4 linked regions of the Cricetulus griseus genome follow. The protein of the gene in region 2 purifies or fractionates together with the protein of the main gene of each other region. This does not show direct contact. Links are inferred from orthologs where the notes say so. Each region holds a gene or a part of one and is shown on either strand. Other genes may lie near its edges.

Evidence for each region.
Region 1: the proteins of Slc30a1 (region 2) and Clgn purify together in Homo sapiens (co-immunoprecipitation; 3 studies listed by BioGRID and IntAct, with this or other methods). This does not show direct contact. The link is inferred for Cricetulus griseus from reciprocal best matches to the Homo sapiens genes SLC30A1 and CLGN.
Region 3: the proteins of Slc30a1 (region 2) and Csgalnact2 purify together in Homo sapiens (co-immunoprecipitation; 3 studies listed by BioGRID and IntAct, counting the BioPlex papers as one, with this or other methods). This does not show direct contact. The link is inferred for Cricetulus griseus from reciprocal best matches to the Homo sapiens genes SLC30A1 and CSGALNACT2.
Region 4: the proteins of Slc30a1 (region 2) and Xxylt1 purify together in Homo sapiens (co-immunoprecipitation; 3 studies listed by BioGRID and IntAct, with this or other methods). This does not show direct contact. The link is inferred for Cricetulus griseus from reciprocal best matches to the Homo sapiens genes SLC30A1 and XXYLT1.

What each region holds. Positions count from the first base shown.
Region 1 is NC_048596.1:159,040,435-159,045,979, forward strand, and holds part of Clgn (calmegin), read left to right. Parts: intron 1-786; coding exon 787-863; intron 864-1,397; coding exon 1,398-1,456; intron 1,457-3,899; coding exon 3,900-4,041; intron 4,042-5,545. UniProt on the Homo sapiens protein: Functions during spermatogenesis as a chaperone for a range of client proteins that are important for sperm adhesion onto the egg zona pellucida and for subsequent penetration of the zona pellucida.
Region 2 is NC_048598.1:3,154,771-3,160,846, forward strand, and holds the start of Slc30a1 (zinc transporter 1), read right to left. Parts: upstream 3,475-6,076; 5' UTR 3,133-3,474; coding exon 2,529-3,132; intron 1,079-2,528; coding exon 174-1,078; 3' UTR 1-173. UniProt on the Homo sapiens protein: Zinc ion:proton antiporter that could function at the plasma membrane mediating zinc efflux from cells against its electrochemical gradient protecting them from intracellular zinc accumulation and toxicity.
Region 3 is NC_048601.1:26,763,634-26,769,649, forward strand, and holds the start of Csgalnact2 (chondroitin sulfate N-acetylgalactosaminyltransferase 2), read left to right. Parts: upstream 1-2,368; 5' UTR 2,369-2,488; intron 2,489-2,538; exon of another isoform or gene 2,539-2,654; intron 2,655-4,786; exon of another isoform or gene 4,787-4,917; intron 4,918-6,016. UniProt on the Homo sapiens protein: Transfers 1,4-N-acetylgalactosamine (GalNAc) from UDP-GalNAc to the non-reducing end of glucuronic acid (GlcUA). Required for addition of the first GalNAc to the core tetrasaccharide linker and for elongation of chondroitin chains.
Region 4 is NC_048597.1:58,501,242-58,506,102, reverse strand, and holds the end of Xxylt1 (xyloside xylosyltransferase 1), read right to left. Parts: intron 2,699-4,861; coding exon 2,302-2,698; 3' UTR 1,290-2,301; downstream 1-1,289. UniProt on the Homo sapiens protein: Alpha-1,3-xylosyltransferase, which elongates the O-linked xylose-glucose disaccharide attached to EGF-like repeats in the extracellular domain of target proteins by catalyzing the addition of the second xylose.

The sequences.
Region 1 (5,545 bases), on a different chromosome or scaffold from region 2:
TTTATTTCTCTGTAGGTAGATAATGCACACAAGGACAATGGATTGGAAAGGGAAGGAGTAACGAGGTGGACTTTAGTTGGGCTGAGCCAGGGCTATGCCTCAGCACTGTCGAAGTGTATGTCCTGAGGTGGTGACTGACGGGAGCCTGGGAACTTAACAGAGATTTTGGTTGATCTATTTTAACCATCCTCTGGAGCCTCCATATTGAATGTATTCCCATATAATACTGTGATAACTAAAAATCATTCATCCTTCTATGCTAGCCTCTGCTTAAAGGGCCCAAGTAACAAACAGGAAGTTCTCACAGATTCCTTTGCTTCATCTCATCTTATTGGGTTTTTAACATGCAAATAAATGTTATTATCGGTTTGCAGTAACTATTTTGCTTCCCCTTTAAATTTTAGTCTCTGCAAAGATATTTCTTTTGAAACTTAGTTCTGTGATTTACAAAGCAATGCTTGACAAACCATCACCTGGGTCAAACATCTATTACAGGGGTCTTTAAAAGTTCACACTTAAAAATTGACATGTGCTCACCACTCATAAGTATATTTGGTGAGATGACAAGAAATTGGAAAAAACACTTAAATTTTCATTACCAGACATCAATTGTACAAAATAACAGGTTTCATTATGACATTACTAAGACATGAGCTTTGCAACCAGAGCCCATGCCAGCCGGGATCTCTACTGCCCATGTGTACTGTGTACTAGGTTCCGAACAATCAGGCTGACTTCAGATATTTGCAAAAATGAGTAACTTTGGCTTAAAAATCTCTTTTCTAGACAATTATATATAAGACACCTCAACCTATAGGAGAAGTATATTTTACAGAAACATTTGACAGTGGAAGGCTGGCTGGGTGAGTACTCCTGCAAGAGCACATTTTCTTCAATTTGATGGGTTTTCTGAAGCTATTAGTCTGTGAGAATTAGCTCTCCTGTGACTGTGGAATAATTTAAAGCTATGAATTTATACAAAGACAGACACAAATTCAGAATGCAAAGGAAGCACATGGCATTTCCTTGCTCTCTGGGGTAGATATTGTGGAGATTCACAAGACAACTGAGTTATGTTCAGCCACAGTGATGGTATGCCTATCTGTAGCAGTTAACACCCGTTGACTAGTATGCTCCAGACCCTCTGCTGGTGGTTCAATATGTACTCCATTCCCTCCACCCCACGGGAGTTTACTCCCACACACATACTCAAGAGCAGATTCCGTGCCTCCTGGGATTGTGCAAAGGCTAGATTTACCAATTAACTTCTTGGCACTAATTCATTTTAAATAAAAACTGATTATGTTGGGTGTCTTTTCGTATTTTTTACATTCATTTTATCTATAAATTGCAAATCTTATTTCAATGGCAGTATCTGTCTTCGCCTTTACTTACAGGTGGGTCTTGTCAAAAGCAAAGAAGGATGACATGGATTCAGAACTTTCCATGTATGATGGTAAAATACTTACTTAAATATTAGATAACAATAACTCATGTTCACTAGCCTTTGAGATTATATTTTTGTTAAATTATGTTGGCCAGAAGGACCAGCCAGCTGTCACAGGGAAATGTTCAATTTTACACCCTGTTCCTCTTCAGTGTTTCAGGGATTGCTGGGTTGAGCCAGTTTTCTGATTCTTAAATTGTAGTTGGACTTTGACCCCAGGGTGTTAGCTTGCACTGCTGTTCTGGGTGATTCACCCCAAGCCTGGGCACTCATAGATCAAGAGCAGAGTTGTTAATGAGCACTATAAGATAGTGGCCACCTCTGCAGCCACAGCCTCAAGCCTTGACCATCATCCATAGGACTCCTGATGGGGCTGCTTCAGGCGTGGCTGTGGAAGTGACTTTCAAGGTCATATTTTCTTCCCTAGAAAGACCACCTTGGGCCGGGTGGTGGTGGAGCACACCTTTAATCCCAGCACTTGGGAGGCAGAGGCAGGCAGATCTCTGTGAGTTCTAGACCATCCTGGTCTATAAGAGCAAGTTCCGGACAGCCTCCAAAACCACAGAGAAACCCTGTCTTGAAAAAGAAAGGAAGGAAGGAAGAAAGAGAGGCTGAACGACCACCTTGGAGAATGACAAAAGAATGTCTCCCTTCTGGTCTAAAAGCGTCATGTAACCTCTGCTGTTGGGAACCAGGAGGGGAACCCCACTGTCTAGGAGTTCCTCACACCGTTAAGCATAAATAAGGCCTAGACCTCAGATTCAGCAGGTGGTCCCTTCGGAGCATGTGCTAGACTTGAGTCGTCAGTGTCCTTCTTACAGCTTCTGTAATTGTGTAAGATGGAGACCATGCCCACCTGTCTCCCTCTATACAGCATGTTTTCAGTCCCAGCAAACAAATTCCTCCTGCCACCATGTGTGTATACTCCACATGAGACCATGTGTGGACCAATCTAAAGCCACTTACAAAATTCTTCCCATCAAAGAAACAATGAGTCCAAGGGATATAATGCTAAAATTGATCTAAATAAGCCTAGTATTGCTAAAAAAAAAACCAGAATGTTTGATTTAAGCAACTGTGTTTAAGCACTTCACAGTTGTTTTTTGTTTTGTTTTGTTTTTTTAAACCAAGTAAAATATTCACTTTAGAAAAATAAAAGATTAGGGTATGCTTTAAGGAAACCTGCAAGCATTTATTTTATTTTTAAGATGGGTCTTGCTATATAGCCCAGGTTTCCCTAAATCATGTCATCCTTCTGCCTTAGCTATCTGAGTGACAATGTGATTACAGGTATGTACAACAATCCCAATAGTGTCTACAAATGACAGACTAAAACTCAAGCTGCTTTGATCATGAGACTTGTGATAGTTTCATTGTTTTTAGAAAGAAAAAAGCAGTCTAGAGCATTAGTGATTTAAATGTGCCTGTAAAATAATTGTGAGTTGAAACATTATAGCAAAATAACCATCTTTTGCTGGATTGAGTTTAGTTAGAACAGACAAACATAATTTTCAAACATATAATTTTGAAATGAACATAAGTTAATTTTTTCCCCTGTTTTAAAAGAGTGATGCCCAGCACAGAACTCTGGGGCTCCAGTTTGCCCACCTGGCTCACAGCCTGTGTAACCCACGGTCTCACCCACTGCAGGAACACAGCCCAGAGCCCTAGCTTGATTTGCTGCTTGCTGGCTTAGTGCTTCTCTGGGGTGTCACTGCTTCCTGGCCCAAAGCTCACCCAGCCACATGGCTTAATAGGGAAGGGTTTGTGTGATGAGATAGTCTTCAAATGCAATTTAAGTACCTACAGAATGCTATGAGAATCCTTGAAGAGTGCATGCATTTCCTAGTAAACTCAGCCCAGGGACAGACTGCCCACTTTGTGTTAAAGATGCACATTGTCTCATACACATTTTTAACGATCTCATTTTAGTTTCATTTTTTTTTTCTCATTTTAAGTGTCTGGACAAGGCAAACTTTGCTCTTGGTCAAGAAGGTGCACTTGGAAGAGCAAACCCACACACAGGAAGTACACTGGCTTTTATATCTCATTTCTTAGAGTCAGCATTGATAGTACTTATGAGATAAACCATATTTTATCATTTATTTTACTGAAAATATGTCAAGAAAACCTAATTGCATCTATTGTAGAAGTGTACCTTCTTCCAAGTTTGGCCTAAGGAAATGAAACCAGTTTCTGAAAAATGACAAGAAAGAGGAAAGGGGGTTGTCAGGGAGGAAAGGGTGAGACAGGAGGGGAGATGAGGGGGGAAAAATGAGAAGGGGAAATGAGGAGTGGGTGGAAAGAGGGGGAAAGGAAGGGGAATACAAAGAGCAGGTACTATTTCCTGATGTATTCTTCAGTTCTCATGGCAAAGATCACTGCTAACAACTGCTGAGCTGTGGTTTTCTGGGTCTTCTGTTTGACTCACTTGTTTTGCTTTCTCATTTAGGAAGATGGGAAATAGAAGAGCTGAAGGAAGACCAGGTCCCCGGCGACCGAGGCCTGGTTCTGAAGTCTAAAGCCAAGCACCACGCAATATCTGCCGTCCTCGAAAAACCCTTTATTTTCTCTGATAAACCTTTGATAGTTCAGTAAGTGTTAAGACTGAAGTGTTAATTTGAATTAGTTTGGTATCATTTGGCATATGAATATGTGTTAGTTTTGGTGCTGTGTACAAAAAAATCCCCACATTTCCCTTTCCAGGTTCTTAGACAAATACACCTATACATAACCACACCCTGGGCCTTGGGGGCAACCAGCTCAGTGGTAAATTCCATGTCACATGTCTTATATGCACAATTCTGTCACCATAAAGTACAGTGAAGCCACTACTTTTATCTTAGTTTTTCTCATTCCTTGCTGATAAGATAGTCACCTCAGGACATTCAGAAAAGAACCACAAATATGGCCAGTTTACAGTTCTGTTCATGCCTAGCCACTCAAAGAAGCAGATTGAGTCTACAAGAACTGTGTCTGCAGGTCAGGGTCATTCAAGCTGGGAGCTCTCTTAAGAGCCCCATGCTGTCAGAGACTTCTCTTCTCCTGCACAGACATGTAAGCCATGTGGCTTGCATGTGTACTGCCCTGAGGTCAAGTATAATTCCCCAGCTTTCTCTCATCTGTAGGGCTGTGAAGCCAAAATGAAGTTCGTAAAATAAAGGCATTTGCATGTGTTACTGGTAAGTTCCATTGTGTCTGGAACTACCGCAGGTTAAAAAGTGTCCTACAGAAATAGCAGTAGTGCCTGCCAGCCCCCAGACTCTCAGTTCTCTGCCAACCCAGTGAACAGCATTCCTTCCTGGGATTAGCCTACTCTAGATGAATCCATTTCAGTGGCTGTTCAATACCAAGTAAAGACAAGGAGGGATTCCCTGTTACCTGGACTAATTAAAATAACATTACAAAAATTTAGTGGGACCAGTATCCACGTGGGTATTATTACTAATTTTAGGATTTGGTCTGATTTTTGTTTTGCTGATAACTTCTTTCCTTTTTCCTTTTTCCTCTCTGTGATATGTGGAGGTGGCAGGGGTCAGGGGCGTTGAGTGCAATTGTATGTGTGTGTGTACATATGGAAGCCAAGCCCAAGGTTAATGGTGTGTGTGTGTGTGTGTGTGTGTGTGTGTGTGTGTGTGTGTGTGTGTGTGTGTACTTGTGCAGGCCTAAGGCTGATGCTTGGAAAATCATCCTTGATGCAATTCTACCTTGTTCACTGAGACAGTTCTCAATCTATATAACATGTCTTCCTAGCCAGCTTGCCTGGTGAATCTCCTGCCTCCACCTTCTGAAACTGGAATTACAGGCTGGCCTCTGTGTTCACCCAGCATTTTACATGGGTTCTAGAGATCTGAACTCTGGTGTCAAGCACTTTAACTACTGAGCCCTCTCCCAGCCCTTCCTTGAGACTTACTATTATTTTCTTAAAAGTTGGGTGTATATAGCATCACTTAATGAATGTACTCTTGGTTTGAAAAGGGTTGGACAGGAAACCAATACAAAACTCATGTAGTGTTTCCCTGGGAGTCACTGATAAGAAAATGATGTCTTGCCAGATAAGAAGCAAACCGAAAAACATCCAAAATTTTCCAAAACAAC
Region 2 (6,076 bases):
ATGCAGAACGCTCTCTTATGCAGTTCCATTATGTTCTTACAAAAATAGAATTAAACTGTGCGACCAGACAAGGACTTCAATTACACTACTTGGCAAAAACTTAGTATTTCAATGGAGTCTATTTTCTCTTGCAGTTCAAAAGCAAAGTCAAATATCACATCTTTTTTCAAGACTCACAAAGATGATTCGGGCTGTTTTTTTGGCACGTTTTTAATCTCTATCACGACAGCAGGGAGGCTGCCTTCAGCTTTAGTCCTCCTGGGCTTCTTCTCTAGATTCTCACTGAGTTCTAAACAAGATATGCTAACTGCCGGGGTCTTGTCTGCATCCTTGGCAGAAAGGACTTGAGGTCGCGCCCCGCAGCACTGCTTCAGAGCGCACTGAGTTCTGCAGGCAAGTTCACATGGGACTACACTTGATTTAGAGCCCACGCTGGCAAATTCAGGCTGGATGGTGGTAGCATGAATTCCGTGATTGTGAAAAACATCCTTAATGGTTTTGGCCACCTGCATGTATGAGGTCGGGTCTTCACATTTTATGTGAGCAGTGGCGATGATTCTGCTTCCAGCAAGCTGCCAGACGTGTAGCTCATGAACTTCCTCAACGCCTTCAACGGCTCGGAGCTCTTTTACCAAATGTTTGATATCAATTTGCTTGGGAACGGTTTGTAGAAGGATGAGAGCAGATTCCTTAAGCAATGGATAGGTTGTGTAAAGAAGTATACAAACCATTATCACACACAGAGTTGGATCTAAGTAGAGCACCCAGCAGGGACCGGCCTCTCGAACCACCGTCTGGGTGCTGTTGATGATCTCTACGGAGGTTCTGCAGGGATCACGGAAACATGGGTTTATGCAGAAGTTGTCTTCAGAACAGCCCTGCCAGAAGAAGTAAAAGAGCAGGGCATTCACTACCACGATCACGGAGCCCAAGGCGTCTCCGAGGACGTGCAGAAACACTCCCCGCATGTTCAGCTGTGCAGCCCTGTTGTCTTCCGACTCCAGATTGTCAGGCTCCTTGATAAGATTCCCGTTGACTTGTACATCCACTGGGTCATCACTTCTGTTCTTTTCTGACTCTACAATGAAGCAATACGATTTTAATTAAACACATGGCGAGTGCTCAGACAAGCATCCTGTCTAGTGTTGAAGACGTTGAAACTTAAAAAGCACAATAAAAGTATGCTGAGAAACAACACTCAATGCTCAATGGACTGATAGTCTGGGCACTGCCAGGCCATAGCAGGGAGGACTAAACTGTGTCCTTAGGCAAGTTTCCTCATTTCCTCCCCTGCCCCTCACTACTGGGTTTGTAACCTGTAAACATTCTGCTGTACTTTTCTGACACAAAGAGAAACAAAACTTAAGGCCATCACTTAAGCCCAGCTGAGGAGATAAGCCCTCTAACACAGCTGATCTGACATAGCTCTTGTTAGCAGCATTAGCCAGACTGCTTGAGACAAGTGCTTATCATAAATATTATACATATTCTGTCTCTATAGAGAAGGTTTACAAACTGACAAATCGGCAACTGAAGGCTATTGCCAGGTGGCAGCGGCACACATCTTTAATCACAGCAGAGACAGAGGCAGGCAGATCCATGTTGAGTTTGAAGCCAGCCTGGTCTACAGAGTGAGTTCCAGGACAGCCAAAGTTATTACACAGAGAAACCTTATCTCAAAAAAACCAAAACAAGGCCGGGCGGTGGTGGCACATGCCTTTAATACCAGGGCTTGGGAGGCAGAGGCAGGCGATCTCTGAGTTTAAGGTCAGCCTGGTCTACAAGAGCTAGTTCCAGGGCAGCCTCCAAAGCCACAGAGAAACCCTGTCTCGAAAAACAAAAACAAACAAACAAAAAAACCCAAAACAAAACTTGGAGTCAGACGGGCACACCTGAGTAGTTTCATTTTCTTCGGAATAGGAGAAAACCTTCCCCATGCACCATCTGCACACGTATGTTACACACTGGAGAAGTTTAACTAACTGCCTCTTAGCGTGATTTCGCCAGATTTAAACGGCAAGGATCACAAAAAACGTTCACGTCGAACTTGGGCGGGGCCGGCTGGTCCTTTCTCACTCCTGCTCAACACTCACCTTCCAAATTTCAGCCAAGAGCACCAGTGCTCAAGATGAAAAACGCTCACTAAAAACCACAAGGGAAACAACACATCGCCATCATGATGGTCTAGCACCATGATTGCCAGCCAAAGCCCTAAGAGGCAGACGCGCAACGTGCCCTGGCAAGGTCCCTAACCTGTGATTTTCCGGACTGGGTGGTCAGTCCAAGGAAACACACACCCCGCCGCTCACAAAGGCCGCCTTTACCCAGCACCCACCCACAACACCGCCCCGCTAGCAACGCAGCATCAAACTTGTCCAGTGGGCTCGGAACCACCGCGCACCGGGGCGCGGGGCGTGGCACCAGCCTCGCTCGCCAGGGGGCGCCCTCCCGTCCCGACCGGACCCGACCCGACCACTCCGGCGCTCGCTCGCCCGCCCGCCGCCCCGCTCGCTCGCTCGCTCGCTCACCTGCCGGGTCCGCCTTGAGCCCGTTGGAATTGCTGCTGTTGGCCACCAGCGTGTTGGTCTCCTCCTGGTCCGGCGCCCGTCCCGGCGGCGCGCCCGCCTCGCCCGCGGCGCGGCGCCGCGCCTTGCGCGCGCCCTTGGCGAGGTGGCCGTGGCCGTGCGAGTGTCCGTGGCCCGCGCCCTGGCCCTCGCCGCTGTGGTGGTGGAACAGGCAGAGCCCCAGCACGTTGACCAGCAGCCCCGCCACGCCGACGCCCAGCACCACAAGCGGCTGCTGCATCTCGTGCGGCTCGATGAAGCGCTCGACGGCCTCCAGCAGGATGGCGAAGCACAGCCCCGTCAGGAAGATGGCGTTCACCAGCGCGCCCATCACCTCGGCGCGGATCCAGCCGAACGTGTTCTTCTGCGTGGCGTGGGTCCTCCGGGCGAAGCGCTCGGCCACCAGCGCCACCACCAGCGCCAGCACGTCCGACAGCATGTGGAAGGAGTCGGACAGCATGGCGAGCGACGCGGTCACCCGGCTCACCACCACCTCCAGCACCATGAACATGAAGGTCAGCAGCAGCATGCACAGCAGCCGCCCGCGGTTGCGGCCCCAGCAGCCCATGGCGGCGGCCCGAGGCTCGGCTCGGCGCGGCGCTCGAGCGGGAGCCGGAGCGGGAGCCGGAGCCGGAGCCGGAGCGGCGCTGTGGGGAAACCGCCGGCCGCGCAGCTACTCCGGCGCTCGGCTCGGCTCTGCGGTGGCGTGGCGGGCGGCGGCGGCGGCGGACGGACTAGGCGAGGGCGCGGCGGGCGGGTGACTGCGCGCCGAGGGCCCGCCGAGCATCGGACCGAGGCGCTCCGGAGACGGCGTCCGCGGCGACTGCGCTCGGCCCGGCGGCGGCCGCCTTCTTAACCCCCCCGCCTTTGCAGACGGTTTACAAAAAAACTTTGCTTTGCACTCGGAACCCCCGTTTTCACACGGACCCGAGCGTGACAAGGCCCCGGGGCCCCGCCCCCCGGCCCGGCTCGCAGCCTCATTGGCCAGGACGGCCTCACGACAGCCGCGGCGTCCCGCCCCTCCGCGGCCTCTATTGGCTGGCGCGGCCGAGGGGCGGGAGGGGGCGGGGCGAGGCCGCGGGAGCCGCGGGCGGGGCCTGTGCTCTGGAGAGCCGGGCGTGGGCCGGGGCCGCGGCCGGGTGCAGCGGCGGGCGGTGCGGGGGAGGGTGGGCGCGGGCCGCGTGCAGCGGAGGGGCCGGCGGCAGGGCGGCGGCGCCGAGCCCTGGGGCGCAGCGAGCGCTCAGCGCTTCCCGCTTCCCGCGCCGCGGATTCCGGGCTGCGGTTCTGCCGCGCCCGCCCTAGACTTTGATCCGGCGATCCGGGTGATCCGGGTGCACGTGGGGGCGGCTGGGTGACAGGTCGGCGCCCGGGAGGGGCGGGGAGTGCGGGCCGTGCGGGCTGTGCTGGCCGGCGGGGGCGCGGCCGGGCGGGGAGCTGAGCTGGGGACTGGCTTGCTGGCGGCCCGACCGCAGCCTCGGGAGCAGTTTCCATCCAGCGGGTCACCCGCAGGGCCACCTCCCCGGGGGAACCGTGTCAAGTCAGGCCTGTCTGTCACTGAGTCTCTAAGGTGTGGGGTGCAGACTTGGGGCGGGAGCCTGCTGCGTGACTTGGACGGGTCACCTAATCTCGCCACACCTGTTTCTTCATCAATGGAGGGAAGGGCTGGGCAAGTGGAACTCCTCTTCCTTCTAGCTAAAATTCCAAGGCTCTGTGATTTCACACTATTTATCGGCTACAAACCTCCGAACTCTTGTGTCGGCTGCTTGGAGGGGGAGGGGCGGCCAGAATACAAAAGAAAGGTGGCAGATAAGGTACTACGAACCAAAACACCCCTGCTAAGTTGGGCAAAGACTCGTTGGAGTTGGCCCTCTAAGTGAGTGTGTGTGCACATCTATGTGGTTAAAGGTCCCACAGAGAGGTGGCTATCAAACCTGAGGAAGGATTCCCTGGATGCTAGTCTTTGCATCGGGATGTGCATGGCCTGTGTTCTTTTGCATAAAAAAAAAAAATTCTGCTCTTTGGCTTTTCGAGAGAGGGTTTCTCGGTGTAGCCCTGGCTATCCTGGAACTAGCTCTTGTAAGCTAGGCTGGCCTGGAACTCGCAAGAGATCCGCCTGGGCTCTGCCCCCAGAGTGCTGGGATTAAAGACGCCACCACCGCCTGCCCGGCAGCAATTCTGATTCCAAGATTGCCTCTCACTTGTACAAGATGTTCTCATGGGCGTCCTTGTCTTCTCGGTCTCGCTGAAAAGGGAAGCTTGGAGAAAGGTTTCCAACACCATAAGGGCAGAAATGGCAGAGCCTGGTGAGTAACTGGGTGTTGGAAGGAAAAAGCTAAAGGGGAGAAATTGACAGAATTATGTTTCGAAACCGGTGAGAGAAATGCTGCCTTAATCAGTATTTTATTGGATGGGGAATGGGAGTGAAAGCTGGGAATGTTCACACAAGTGGGAACCACAGCTTCAAACTTCCTTCCAGCTGCCTAATAGAAATTTAAAATTGGAAGCCACTTACAGTTAAGGTGTCCTTATGTGTCTGACTGGTCATTTGTGGGCCATTTTGCTTCCTAATGTGGCCCTTTATTGATGTATTCCTTTAGAGCAGTGGTTCTCAACCTTCCTAACACTGTGAACTTTAATACAGTTTAATACAGTTCTTCATGTTGTGCTGACACCCAGCCATAAAATTGTTTCTGTTGCTACTTCTTAACTGTACTCTGGTACTGTTATGAATCATAAATGTCTGAGTTTTCTGAGGTCTCAGGCAGCCCCTGAGAAAGGGTCTTTTGACCCCAGGGGGTAGAGACCCACAGATTGAGAACTACTACTTTAAAAAGCCGTTTCTGCAAAGCAGAAACAAAGAGGTAAACGTGTAAAGCAGACTTGCCCTGCCAACTAGGCCTTGCCCCTTGGGGGCTAAACAGACCAGCCTGGAAGATGTTTGGGTGTGAAAGTCCTCTTTCCAGACTCCAGCCCCATCTGAGCTGCTTTATTCCCTCACCTCCCTGGCAGGGGGCGGGGCCGTACAGTTGCAAGGTGTGGAGAAGTCACAATGACCAGCCAGCTCCTAGAGTAACCCAGGGTGGGACAGGCTGAGGGGTTCAGTGGTTGTCCAGCCTGAGCAAAGGCCCTGAGTTCCTGAAAGAGCACAATAGCAGCAGGACTATCTTTTTGTTTTTGTGACAGGATCTCACTGTGTAACCCTGTGTAGCTGTTCACAGAGATCTGCTTCCTGAGCCTCCAACATTTGGGATTAAAAGGTGTGAGCGTCTAAAGCCAGGCAGTGGTGATGCACGTCTTTGATCCCAGCAGTCAGGAGGCAGAGACAGGTAGATCTCAGTGAGTTCCAGGCCATCCTTGTCTACAGAGAGAATTCCAAGACAGGCTCCAAAGCTACAGAGAAACCCTGTCTGGAAAAACCAAAGTGGGGGAAAGAAGGTATGCACATCCATGACCAGCCCTCCCCTCCCTTTGGGTGGACAAAATACTTTGGTAGTTTGACTCAAGGTTTTGGG
Region 3 (6,016 bases), on a different chromosome or scaffold from region 2:
GAAGGAAGATAAAGGGAAGACAGCAAACACAAGCCAGACAGAAACCCAGCATCTGTGGGGTTAGCAAAGAAGGGGAAAACAAGGAAAACGCTTGAAGTAGCTAGGATTGGGTCTATCTTAGTGTGCTAAGAAGTGGGGTGGCTCCAAATTTGCTTAATGGGGACACAGAGTTCTCTTTGTGGAGACTTTGCAATAATTCATCCACTCACAAGTCCACTTAGACCCTGTGTTTGGCACTGAGATTCCAGAAACTATAGATGAAGTCTCCTTCTTTCTGTCATGGTCCCAATCATCCAATTTAAAGTGACCACAGGAAAATCCAAGCCCTAGCATGACCAGTCTAGAGGGCACATTCCAAAAGCCCCTAGGTCTGTGAACTTTCTTTTTGTTTGAGACAGGCTCTCGGTATGTATGCCAGGCTGACCTGGAACTTACTATGTAGTCCAGGCAGGCCTCGAGATTATTATTCTTCTGCCTCAGTTTCCTGAGTGCTAGGACCATACATGGCTCCTGGGAACTTCTCAGTAACCATTGATGAAATGTCAAGTATAGTGTGGGAACGCAGTAGACCATGGGTTTGAACTACTAGTGCCAAAGCTAACTGGCATCATTGTTCTCTAACATTTAATGAGACGCCCATTTATATTTATTAGTACTTTGAAGAACTTGAGTCTTACCTTAGAAATTTAGCAGTGCTGTGCATGTTACCATTTGCTGGAGGTCCCCATGCTTCAAGTCTCCTAGGAGAGACCTCTGTTGCATCTCTATACTCACACTCCTAAGTTGGGTGCTCACACTCGTGTGACAAATAGCACGACAACCCCACGTGCTAGGGACGCTTTAACCAGATTCACATGTAGATAGTCTTCACACAAGTGCTTGCCCTGCTAACTGGGAAGAGAGATGACTAGTGAGAGGCTGCTGACCCAACCAACACACCTTCTCCTCAAGGAAGGTTGGTACTGAACACGGAAAAGATCCCCCCACATGTTTTCATTTTACACAGTTCTGTTTGGTGAATATAAGGTACTAGGGGGTGAAAAGGCTGGCCTTGATGCAGGCAGAGTGGCCATTCTGAAGCCGTGGGGCTTTGCTTAGGATTTTGCTTTCACAAGAAATCTTTTTTCTTTCTCTCTTCTTGTGGTTCTTGCTACTTCAATACCAAGGAAGTTGAATTCACTTATCCATCATGAAAGGGAAAAAATTAAAAAAAAAACAACAACAACCAACTATGATGGAGTTGAAACTAAAAAAAGGCAGGATGGGGGCTTTAGATGCTCTTTTCTGTGTCATGTGTCCCTTTGCCTACACTCCTTATTTCTATTTCTGAATTAATTCGAATAAAATGACTTTTTAAAATTGCATTTAATCCTCACAGTTTTAGGAAACATGTATTATTGTGATTGGCTGCTAAACAGATGAAAAAAAACCTCAGAGTCAGAGGGGCTAAGTCCAAGTAGTCTGCCAAAACAACCCTGCGAAGAAAAAACAACCAGAGTGGAACAGACACCAGAGCTGCCTCTTGGCACCACCACATTTTACCCAGACACACGAGGGCCTTATGCAACTAGCCTCTGACCTGCTTACACTAGTATTCATGGTGGTCACTGCCTTGAGAATATTCCCCGAGCAATCATTTGCATAGAAGCAAGAGCGGGAGAGGTTTGTTTTTGTTTTTATACTTACTAAAATCATACAACTTCAGTCTTTAAAACCGTTTGTTTACTAGACTGTCTACTTAAATGCCATAATTTGACATATAAGGAAATGGAATGGCTAACCCAAGTGCCATTGGCAGACTAGGTTCGTTGACTAGGGCCCAGCTCGCCTGAGAATACTCAGACAGCTCTGGAGACATAGGGGTCCCTAACAAAGCACCCCAAAACTTATAGAAGTCTCTTAGGGTTCCTGGGACAGGGCCCTGCTACACATTGCTGCAAGTCTTCTGGCAGGGATCTCCAAAGCCAATCGCCATTTGATCTGATACTCTAAGTCCCTGCAGGAGTTTGGTTTTCTTCTTTCATGCTTTTTTTGGAGGTCCACAGGCACTCGGTTTTTTGTTTGGTTTTAGATGAATCAACACTGTCAATAGTGGAGCTTTCTGGGCCAGGCATAGGACAGAAGGAGGGATGGGCGTGTCCTGGCTGTAACGTGCGCGGTCTGGCCATGGAAGGCGGGACTTGGCAGTGAAAGGCGGGGCCTGGATGTAGAGGGCGGGGCCTGGCCTTGGAAGGTGAGGCCTGGTCGTGGAGGGAGGAGCCTGAATATGGAGGGCGGGACCTAATCATGGAAGGCGGGACCAGGTCGTGGAGGGCGGGGCCGGGCTGTAGGGGCCAGGCGCGCGCGGCGGCGCCACACCCTCATTTCCCTCATTTCCTCGCGCGCGCCGGAAGTGGCGGTGCTCCGCGGCGGCGCGCCGGGCCGGCCAGCGCAGGGCGCTGGCCAGGTGTGCAGTTCCCCAGGGCGGCGGCGCTGAGCGGCGGGCGCGGTGAGTACCGCCCTCGCCTGCGGCGCCTCTGGCCGGCGGCCCGCCGGTCCCCTCCGACGAGCCCTCCCGGACGGGACGCAGCCGGGCGCGGCGCTTCCCTGACGTGCCCTCCCGAGTCTGGTGCGGCTTTAGGAGACTGCTGCTGCCAGAGATCGTTGGTTTGCGTGTCAGTTGTGTTTTGTTTTGTTTTGTTTTTTTTTTTTCTAACCTACTCGCCGTCGCCTCTGCTGAGTGGCTAAACTTTTTACTGTGGGGTTAAAAGCGTCCTCTGGCAGCAGCCCTCCTGGCTCTGACAAAACGGCCTCCTTTAAAAGATGCTCTTGGAGTAGGAGTCGGTGACCCCCAGAGCCCGGAGAAACGGGGGATTGTCAGGATGACCAGATAGTTTGGAAAATTCCCGCATTTCTGAGCAAGCGGCTGAGCAGCACCACAGCGATGCTTGTGTTTGTGGTGATGGTACTGGCAGCATGACAGTTAACTTGGTTGCAAATCTAAAGCTTTCCCTCTGAAGCCCTGTTAAATCTAGAGGTGTCTTTAGCCTGCTTTTGAAGTGTGCGTGTGTGTGCAGTGTCTTGATTGACAGTGCGTGTCGTTGAAGGCCCCTGGGCCTTTAAGTCCTTGTAGATTGATGCTGCCTTTTAAAGATTTATTAAGATAGCACCTTCGGTTTGGGAAGTGACAAGAAGTGTTTTATGGCAGGAACATTTTGTATTATTATCCGCTACTACTTTTTTAAAAAGTATGTGACTAAAAGAAAGCAAAAAGGATGTTGGATTTCCGGTATATGTGGCTTACAGGATTTGAAGCAAAACAGGCAACTTTAGTTTTGAATAATTTAGAGATTACCTTTTTTCCTTCTTCACTTCTTTTGTGGAGATATAAAATACACACGAAGTCAACAAGTGCATAAAAATTAACTGTATATAGGTCACTGACTTTACATGCTTATTACAGTGTTTCCTACTACACACATCAGATTGTAACTGTAGAACATTTCCAGAGTGCTCTGCTTCTTCCAAATCGGTTGTACCCCTGCCTCCCCATCTGTATTCTGACTTCTCTCCTCCACCTTAGTTTGGTTATTTTGAACTTAACATTAATGGAGTTAATATGTAGTGTTCTCAGAATATTGCTTGTGGAAGTCACTCTTCATGGTTTTTTTGGTATGGTGTCATTCGTATCGTGGTATGGTTGTTGATAGTTCTTTTGTAGTGTTCCATTGTGTAGTGTGACTGTTCTGTTCATGAGCATGTGTGCTTCCCGTTTTGTGTTTTATGTGTTTTAGGTATTAAGGATGTTGTGACATTCTTGTAAATATCTTAGTGAGTATGTGAATACATTCCTGCCAGATGTAGAATAAATGAGACATAACTAACACAATGGACTCTTTCTTGTAAAAATGTAACAGAATCTCTTAACTAATTACAACAGTAAAGGCTGGTTTTAAAAGTATAGCTATTATGAGTTAAGGCATGGTTGTGCACACCTTTAATCCCAGCACACAGGAGGCAGAGGAAGGCAGATCTCTGTTAGTTCCAAGCCAGCCAAGGATACACCCTGACACACTGTCCCAAAAAAATGTTATATTCATTATAGTTACTATGTACACTTTGTATTTGCACCAGTGACAATCTTCTCAAAGATTCATTACATTTAATTATCTTTTAGCCACAAGTCAGTTAGAGCAGGCCATGATAAGACTGTTCAGTTTGATAACAGTTAGGTAATTATATTACTCAAGCTAGTGGTTATTAAGGGAAATGTGGTAGCTGTCAGAGGAAATGAAGTACCAAAGGATATAGCTAAAAATGGATTGGAGAATCATGAGATTTCAAGACTATATATAGTTACTGTCATGCAACACAAGTACTAGGTGTAAGTATAAATTGAATTAAATTAATTATGAGGTTACTTTAGGATGTGAATTTATTTATTATACTAGTATAATATATAGTATATTTCCATAACAGAACAAAAATTACTAAACATTTGTAGGAAGCCAGATCATGTAATCTGGGAAAATACAAGAAGCAATTGAGTTGAGGATTTTTAAATATTAGTACCCTCAAGTTTGGAGAGGTAGTTTGCCTACTAAACACACACACACACACACACACACAGAGAGAGAGAGAGAGAGAGAGAGAGAGAGAGAGAGAGAGAGAGAGAGAGAGAGAGAGAGAGGAAGAGAGAGAGAGAGAGAGAGAGAGAGAGAATATCGATCCATCAGGAGAAAAAATATTGGCAAACATAAATAATTTCTGGTTTGTTTTTTTTTCCTCTATCTCAGAGAGGATCTGAAATACTACTTTTCAAAGGGCTCATGGAAAAATAGGCACCTGTGCTAGCAGATCCTGATTGCCGCTCTCCTACCAACTCACAGAAGATACCAAAAATATCAAGAAAAGAAGGATATTTCTCAAAGCAGAAGTGTATGAGTTTATGAGTGAATTGATATACCAAAATTCTTAATATTGTTGAATACACACTTAAATACTGTCTAATAAAATTTATGAACTGTGGAGATAAATACATAATTTTATAAGCTTCTAAAAACAATGTTATATGTATTTATAAAGGACTAGAAGTCAAGATTTCCCAACATTGTATGACAGTAGTGTAGTGTTCTAAAGAGCCTATGGTAACAGGGCATGGTCATGTAAGTGTATAATCCCAGCACATGGTAAATTTTGAAGATTATGAATTCAAGGCCAGCCTTGACTACATTAGGAGAGTCTGTCCCAGAAATGAAATCAATCAAACAAACAAAAATGCCCATAGGACTATTTTGAACTTGGAACCTTATCTTTAAACAAAATCATTTCACCCACATTCAGTAGAATATACAGGATATACTGTATCAGATTAAAAATTTGGGAAAAAAATATATGGAATTCAAAGAAAACAGTGAAACATTTCTTAGCTCCAAGTTGTAAATAAATTTAACTAAGAAATTTAAATGTAATGTTAACGATTTTTTAAGACTTTATTTGTTTGTTTTGTTTGGGGTTTTGTTTTTTGTTTGTTTGTTTTTGCTTTTCAAGACAGGGTTTCATTGTGTAGCCCTGGCTGTCCTGGAACTTGAGACCAGGCTAGCCTCAAACTCAGAGCTCTGCCTGCCTCTGCCTCCCAAGTGCTGAGATTTAAGGAGTACACTACCATGCCCAGCCTGAATTTTTAAGTCTTTAATAAACTGAAGAAAAATTTTAATTTAGCAGTTAGTCAGCTTTCCATTATTGTGATAAACTATTTGAAGTAAAAGGGAAAGGGTTTTTTCTCAAAGTTTCAGCTTCTGTTCACTTGGCCCTGTTGCTCTGGTTCTGTGGCAACATTGTCAACATGGTAGCAGAAACATGTGGCTTACCTTGGGGCCAAAAAGCAAAGAGTGAGGAAGTACACAAACTTCAATGTTCCCTCCAAGAGCACACTCTGTAAGTGGTTAGTAATGATTGTGCTACTTCTCAATAACACTGTAGGCTTAGTTTGGTGAGACATTCCAGATCTAAGAGAGCAATTGAAAAGTAGAAAGTA
Region 4 (4,861 bases), on a different chromosome or scaffold from region 2:
TTAACACTATGTTTGTCTACGCCACCATTCTCCCTACCATGGTGATCATTGACTGAACCTCTGAAACTGTAAGTGAGCCACCCCAATGAAATGTTTTCCTTGTAAGAGTTGCCGTGGTCATGGTGTCTCTTCATAGCACTAGAAACCCAAACTAAGACATTATGCAAATGCAGAAGGAGGGAACTGACTCTACAAACTTGTCCTTTGTGTTGTCCTACAACATACACACACACACACACACACACACACACACACACACACACACACACACGCTTGCGCGCATGCACAGAGTAAGTGGGGGATGGTGGTGTGCTCTGAGTATATGGCTTACTTTTTTTCTTTTATAGCTTTGGAAATGCTTTAATTGTTGATGAAAAATTCTGCTGTTATTGTGAGTTAAAGAAACTCCCTGGACTTTAATATACTTTCCCCCTATTGGGATAAGTGTTTTGTTAATGTGTGTGAGGAGTTGAAATCAATAAAATACACAACAGGCTTATTCTTGAATCTCCCTCTTTTCACACATACGTACTTCATGTATGCACATGTTTGTATACATATACATATAAATTCAAATGTGTAATTTAAAAAATAAAAAGGACATACATACAATCTTCTATGTTTTGTATTCTTTACTCACTAGTGTAAGTATTTCCTGGAACACTAAATATTGCTTAAAATGATTTTTCACATATTCCATTATTGGTTGCCTAATGCATTATTTATGTACTTCCCTAGTCAGAATTTCAAGCTAATTCCAACATTTTTTGCACAGTAAAAAGCTGCAGTAACAACACACAGAGCTCTATCCATACCTCTGTTTTCATAATAAGTTTTAGAACTGGAATGAACTTGCTAAGGTTTTCATGAATATGATCTAGAGCTCATATAAATCCTCAAGACGGTGCCCGGCACACAGCAGGCATCTAATAACCAGAAGCTATAAATAGGAAATCAAGTAGCCAGGAGAACAGATGAACCGGCCCCGGCAGTGGGCTAGTGAAGGCGTGTGTGTGCCACCTCCCCGGGCACAGATGCAGCTGGGAGGTCTCGGCTAAGGAGCAGGACTCAGAGAGGGGCTGCTTCATCGCCGGCAGCAGATGGATCTACCAATAGCTAGAATGAAATGGTTCTATACTTAGAACCAAACACAGCAATACCACCTCACTGCCACCCACAGGCAGGCCTTCCTGCTGGTCCTTTTAGGCCCTCTGATTGATATTGATTCCAGTCTTCATTCAGAGCCCCCATGGCCCTGGAAACTCTGATCATAGAACAAACAACATGAGTCAAGTGTTCTCAAAGATTATTTATTAGCTATTCTCACTTGTGGTGAAAGGAAATTTAAAAGTCAATGAAACTGAAAGAAAATATAATGAGACTTGAACATTTCTTGCCTGAGGACATGAGCTGGACTGTATGGCATGGCCTGTGGTGGCTTCATGTGGACAGCTGACTTACAGAGCCCATTATAAGCACAAATAAAGGAATGGTGCACTCTTCTGTAGGGGTAGGCCTGGCACAGTGCCATGGGAAAGTATGGGTCTGTCTGTTTTCCACACCAGAGACCAGTGAGACCATAGGCCAGCCCTTTGCAAGTGCGTGCCTCAGCATGGCCAATCTCTGTTCTTTGACAGTGAATTTGATTCCTTAGTACAGCCAGGTCACGGGGAGGAGGTGGACAGACAAGGGAAAATGGGTTCCTGGATACGCTGGGGGAGCTAAGAGCTCTGAGTGCTACAATAAGGGGTTATTATAGGCTCCCTAGCAGCCCAAGAGGCCTTACCTAAAGAGATGCTGCCCTCGAAGCCTGCACCAAGCAACAAGAACATCTGGAGAGGAGGTGCAAAGCCTCCTGGGAAAGATTGTGGGACTGTGGCATTCCTTCGGAGGCTTAAACTCTGGGCTACTTGTTAAAGCCCTGACTCACTGGCTCAGTGCTCACTGGGACTACAGCAGCACGACTTGTTTCTTCTCACAAAACAGAAGCCTGCCTATCTAAGTTAAACACTTATTTGGTCTAGCAAAAGCCAGTTCTTTCAAAAGGATGTGGACAAGGGAATCTTGTCCTTTGTATCTTCAGCTACATCCTGGAAGACATCTGTGTCTGTCCTTCACAATGCCCTGAAGGGAAACAACCTGAGCTCCAGCAGTGCTCAGCTAAGCTTCTTTGGATGGCCACTGGACAGGGACTGGACAGCTGGGGGGCCTGCAGCACCTGGATCCCAAGGGCATCCTTGCAGAGTCACTCCTCCTTCCCCATGTCCGGGAGCCCCATAGGCATAGTGGGTGAGCTGGGTCCTAGTCCTCTGGGATAGGGGTGTTGCAGTTCCCATGGTAGATCTTGACATGGCCCTCACAGTGAAAGTATGCCTGGAAGACATCGCTGTAGCCATGGTCCCTCCACCAGGTGCACAACTGCCTGTTCCAAGTGCAATCCAGCACATGGAAGAGCTCAGGGTGCTCCATGCCGATCATGGTGAAGAAGTCCTGGTCCCCAAGGTGGCCCCGGAAGTGGTACTTGTCTGCAAGCTGCTGTACCCGTGCAGGCTCCAGCAGATGGCTGTAAAGCGGGGACTGGCGCATGGCCTCTAGGTTCAGCAGCATTACTCCACTGTTGAAGCCAGGGAGCCCCTCAGGCGGAGGGTCCCCAACTCTAGTCTTGGGGTTCTCATGGCGGAACTGCCAGAATGTGTGCCTGTGAAGGAGGAAAAACAGCATTATCCCAGGTCAGGGTGAATGAGCTTACCAGACCTGCTTCCTGGGCCTTCCCAATGGCCACTTACCCTCTGTTTCAGTGACAAAAGTAGAGGCTCTCTGGGGTTCAGCATCTGCATCACACTGCCAGCAGGCAGCACAGTGAGAGCCTGAATCAGCCCCAACCCCAGCTCTAAGTCTCATACCCTCTGCCACCTCAGGATGACCATGTTGATGAGGTCATCATGGTCACTGCCATCGTGTTAGAATCTGTAGAGATGGCAAATACTGGTGATGTGCTGAATGGGGTTGCTCCTCTCCCAGGTGCTGTGCTCTGTGACATGACCCCTCACCACACAGCTAGGAAAACACTGCCCAGGAAGATGGCGTAAGTTGCCTAAAGCCACATAGCCAGTAAGAAGCAGAAGCAGAGACGAAAGCTAGGCCTTTGGCTCAATGACAGCAGTGTGGTAGAACTCCCCACCCTGTCGTTACAGTCTTAAGAGAGGATGACACAAGACAGAAGAGATGCTGAATGACAGTTGGTGAAGTCATAGGCAGACAACTCAGACTGAACCAAACACTTTCTGCTTTAGAACAAGCTTCGTTCATGACCCTTAGCCTAGCATTTCTGAGGTGCTGGGGTCTAGAGACAGCTCTGGACATATATCTACAAGTCAGGGTGAAAGCAGCTGTATGGAGCCACATGGGACTATGGCATTTAGGAGGGATGCCACCTCAATTTTTGTCTTTCTCTGGCAGATTCGGAAAAATGACCCTTCTCAGCCTTTGTCCAAATACTTCCATTTAGAGGTAAGAAGAAACATCTGGAAATCTTCCTGTGATTGACATGTTTAGAGCACTGGCCACTCTGCTTTCTAGCCTTTCTAAGATCTTGTATGTTACAGTGATGGGGGCATGGGGTCCCCAAACCTGTACTCACAGACAAGGCTCAGCAGCAGCGCCCGGGGTGGGCTGTGTGAGCCTGGGTCCTCAGGGTGGGGAGAGCATCTAGGCCACACCAGCCTAGAGTGCATCACACTGTTCACAGGATAGGACGTGTAAGTTTTTGTCAAAAGCAAGCCAGAGCCCCAGAATGCAAGGCCTGCAGCAGGTCCAGTCTCTGGTTCTAACACATGACCCCAGTGAGGGACAGACAAGCCTTCTCTGTGGTCTCACATGTCAGAAAGGCAGCCGACAATTTGATCTTGGCAAGGGATAAGCACGCCTTTGGGACACCAACCAGTGGAGCACACAGGCTCATTGTTAGCATCTGGTCAGGAATGGGCTGTGCGATGAGTGGGGATCTGGCTCTGACCCAGCACCTGTCTGCTGATAACACCCTTGGTAAAGATAAGCTCTAAGAGCAAGCTGAGGCGCCGAGGTCCTCCTGGCCACAGAGCTGCCATGATGGGACCACAAGCATGCCAACACGTCATCATTTTACCCTACCGCCAAATGGTTAATTCCAGGGTCAGATTGCAAGCTAACTACAATTCTACTAGACAGACCTAGGTCACCACAGCATTACCAGGTAGAGGAGGGACCCTCTGGGGAGTGGATGCTGTACCATCCAGGTACTGAGTTCCTCTTCCAATGGTGGGACAGGGACATTTTGTAAGGAGGAAGAGAGAGCTGGGGGGGGCAGCTATGGAGGCCAGCTCATCTCTGTCCATCCTGCCCACTGCTTCCTTTCATCCCTTGTAGAAGACCTGGAAGAGATCAGGGGCTGGCTGGAGGGGCGGGGTCCCTGATGACAGGGCCTTGGCAGGGTGAAGTGACCAAGAAATGTCTATGAAAAGGTAAGAGTGAGTCTGTGTGGCCTTTGGTATTGGTGGCAGCAGGAAGCAGGCCAGGGTAAGGACACCGAGTCACCACACTGAGCACTACATCCACCATGGACAAGGGCTCAGATGAGCTATAAGGGTTTTACCCTTCAGTATGGAGTTCACAGCTGGGGTTCAGGGGGAGACCCTTGCTTGGAGGCTCGCCAGATCTTCCCTCCCTGTATCAAAAGTAGCCAAAAGGTGGCCTGGCTCCCACCTTGCTAGGCTTGGGAGAGGAGATGGAACATATCCAGGTGGAAACTATAACCCGGGGGACTCTCTAGGAACTCAATGGCCAGCACCGAACCAGGCAGCACACAGAGGCACTCTGTAACCAA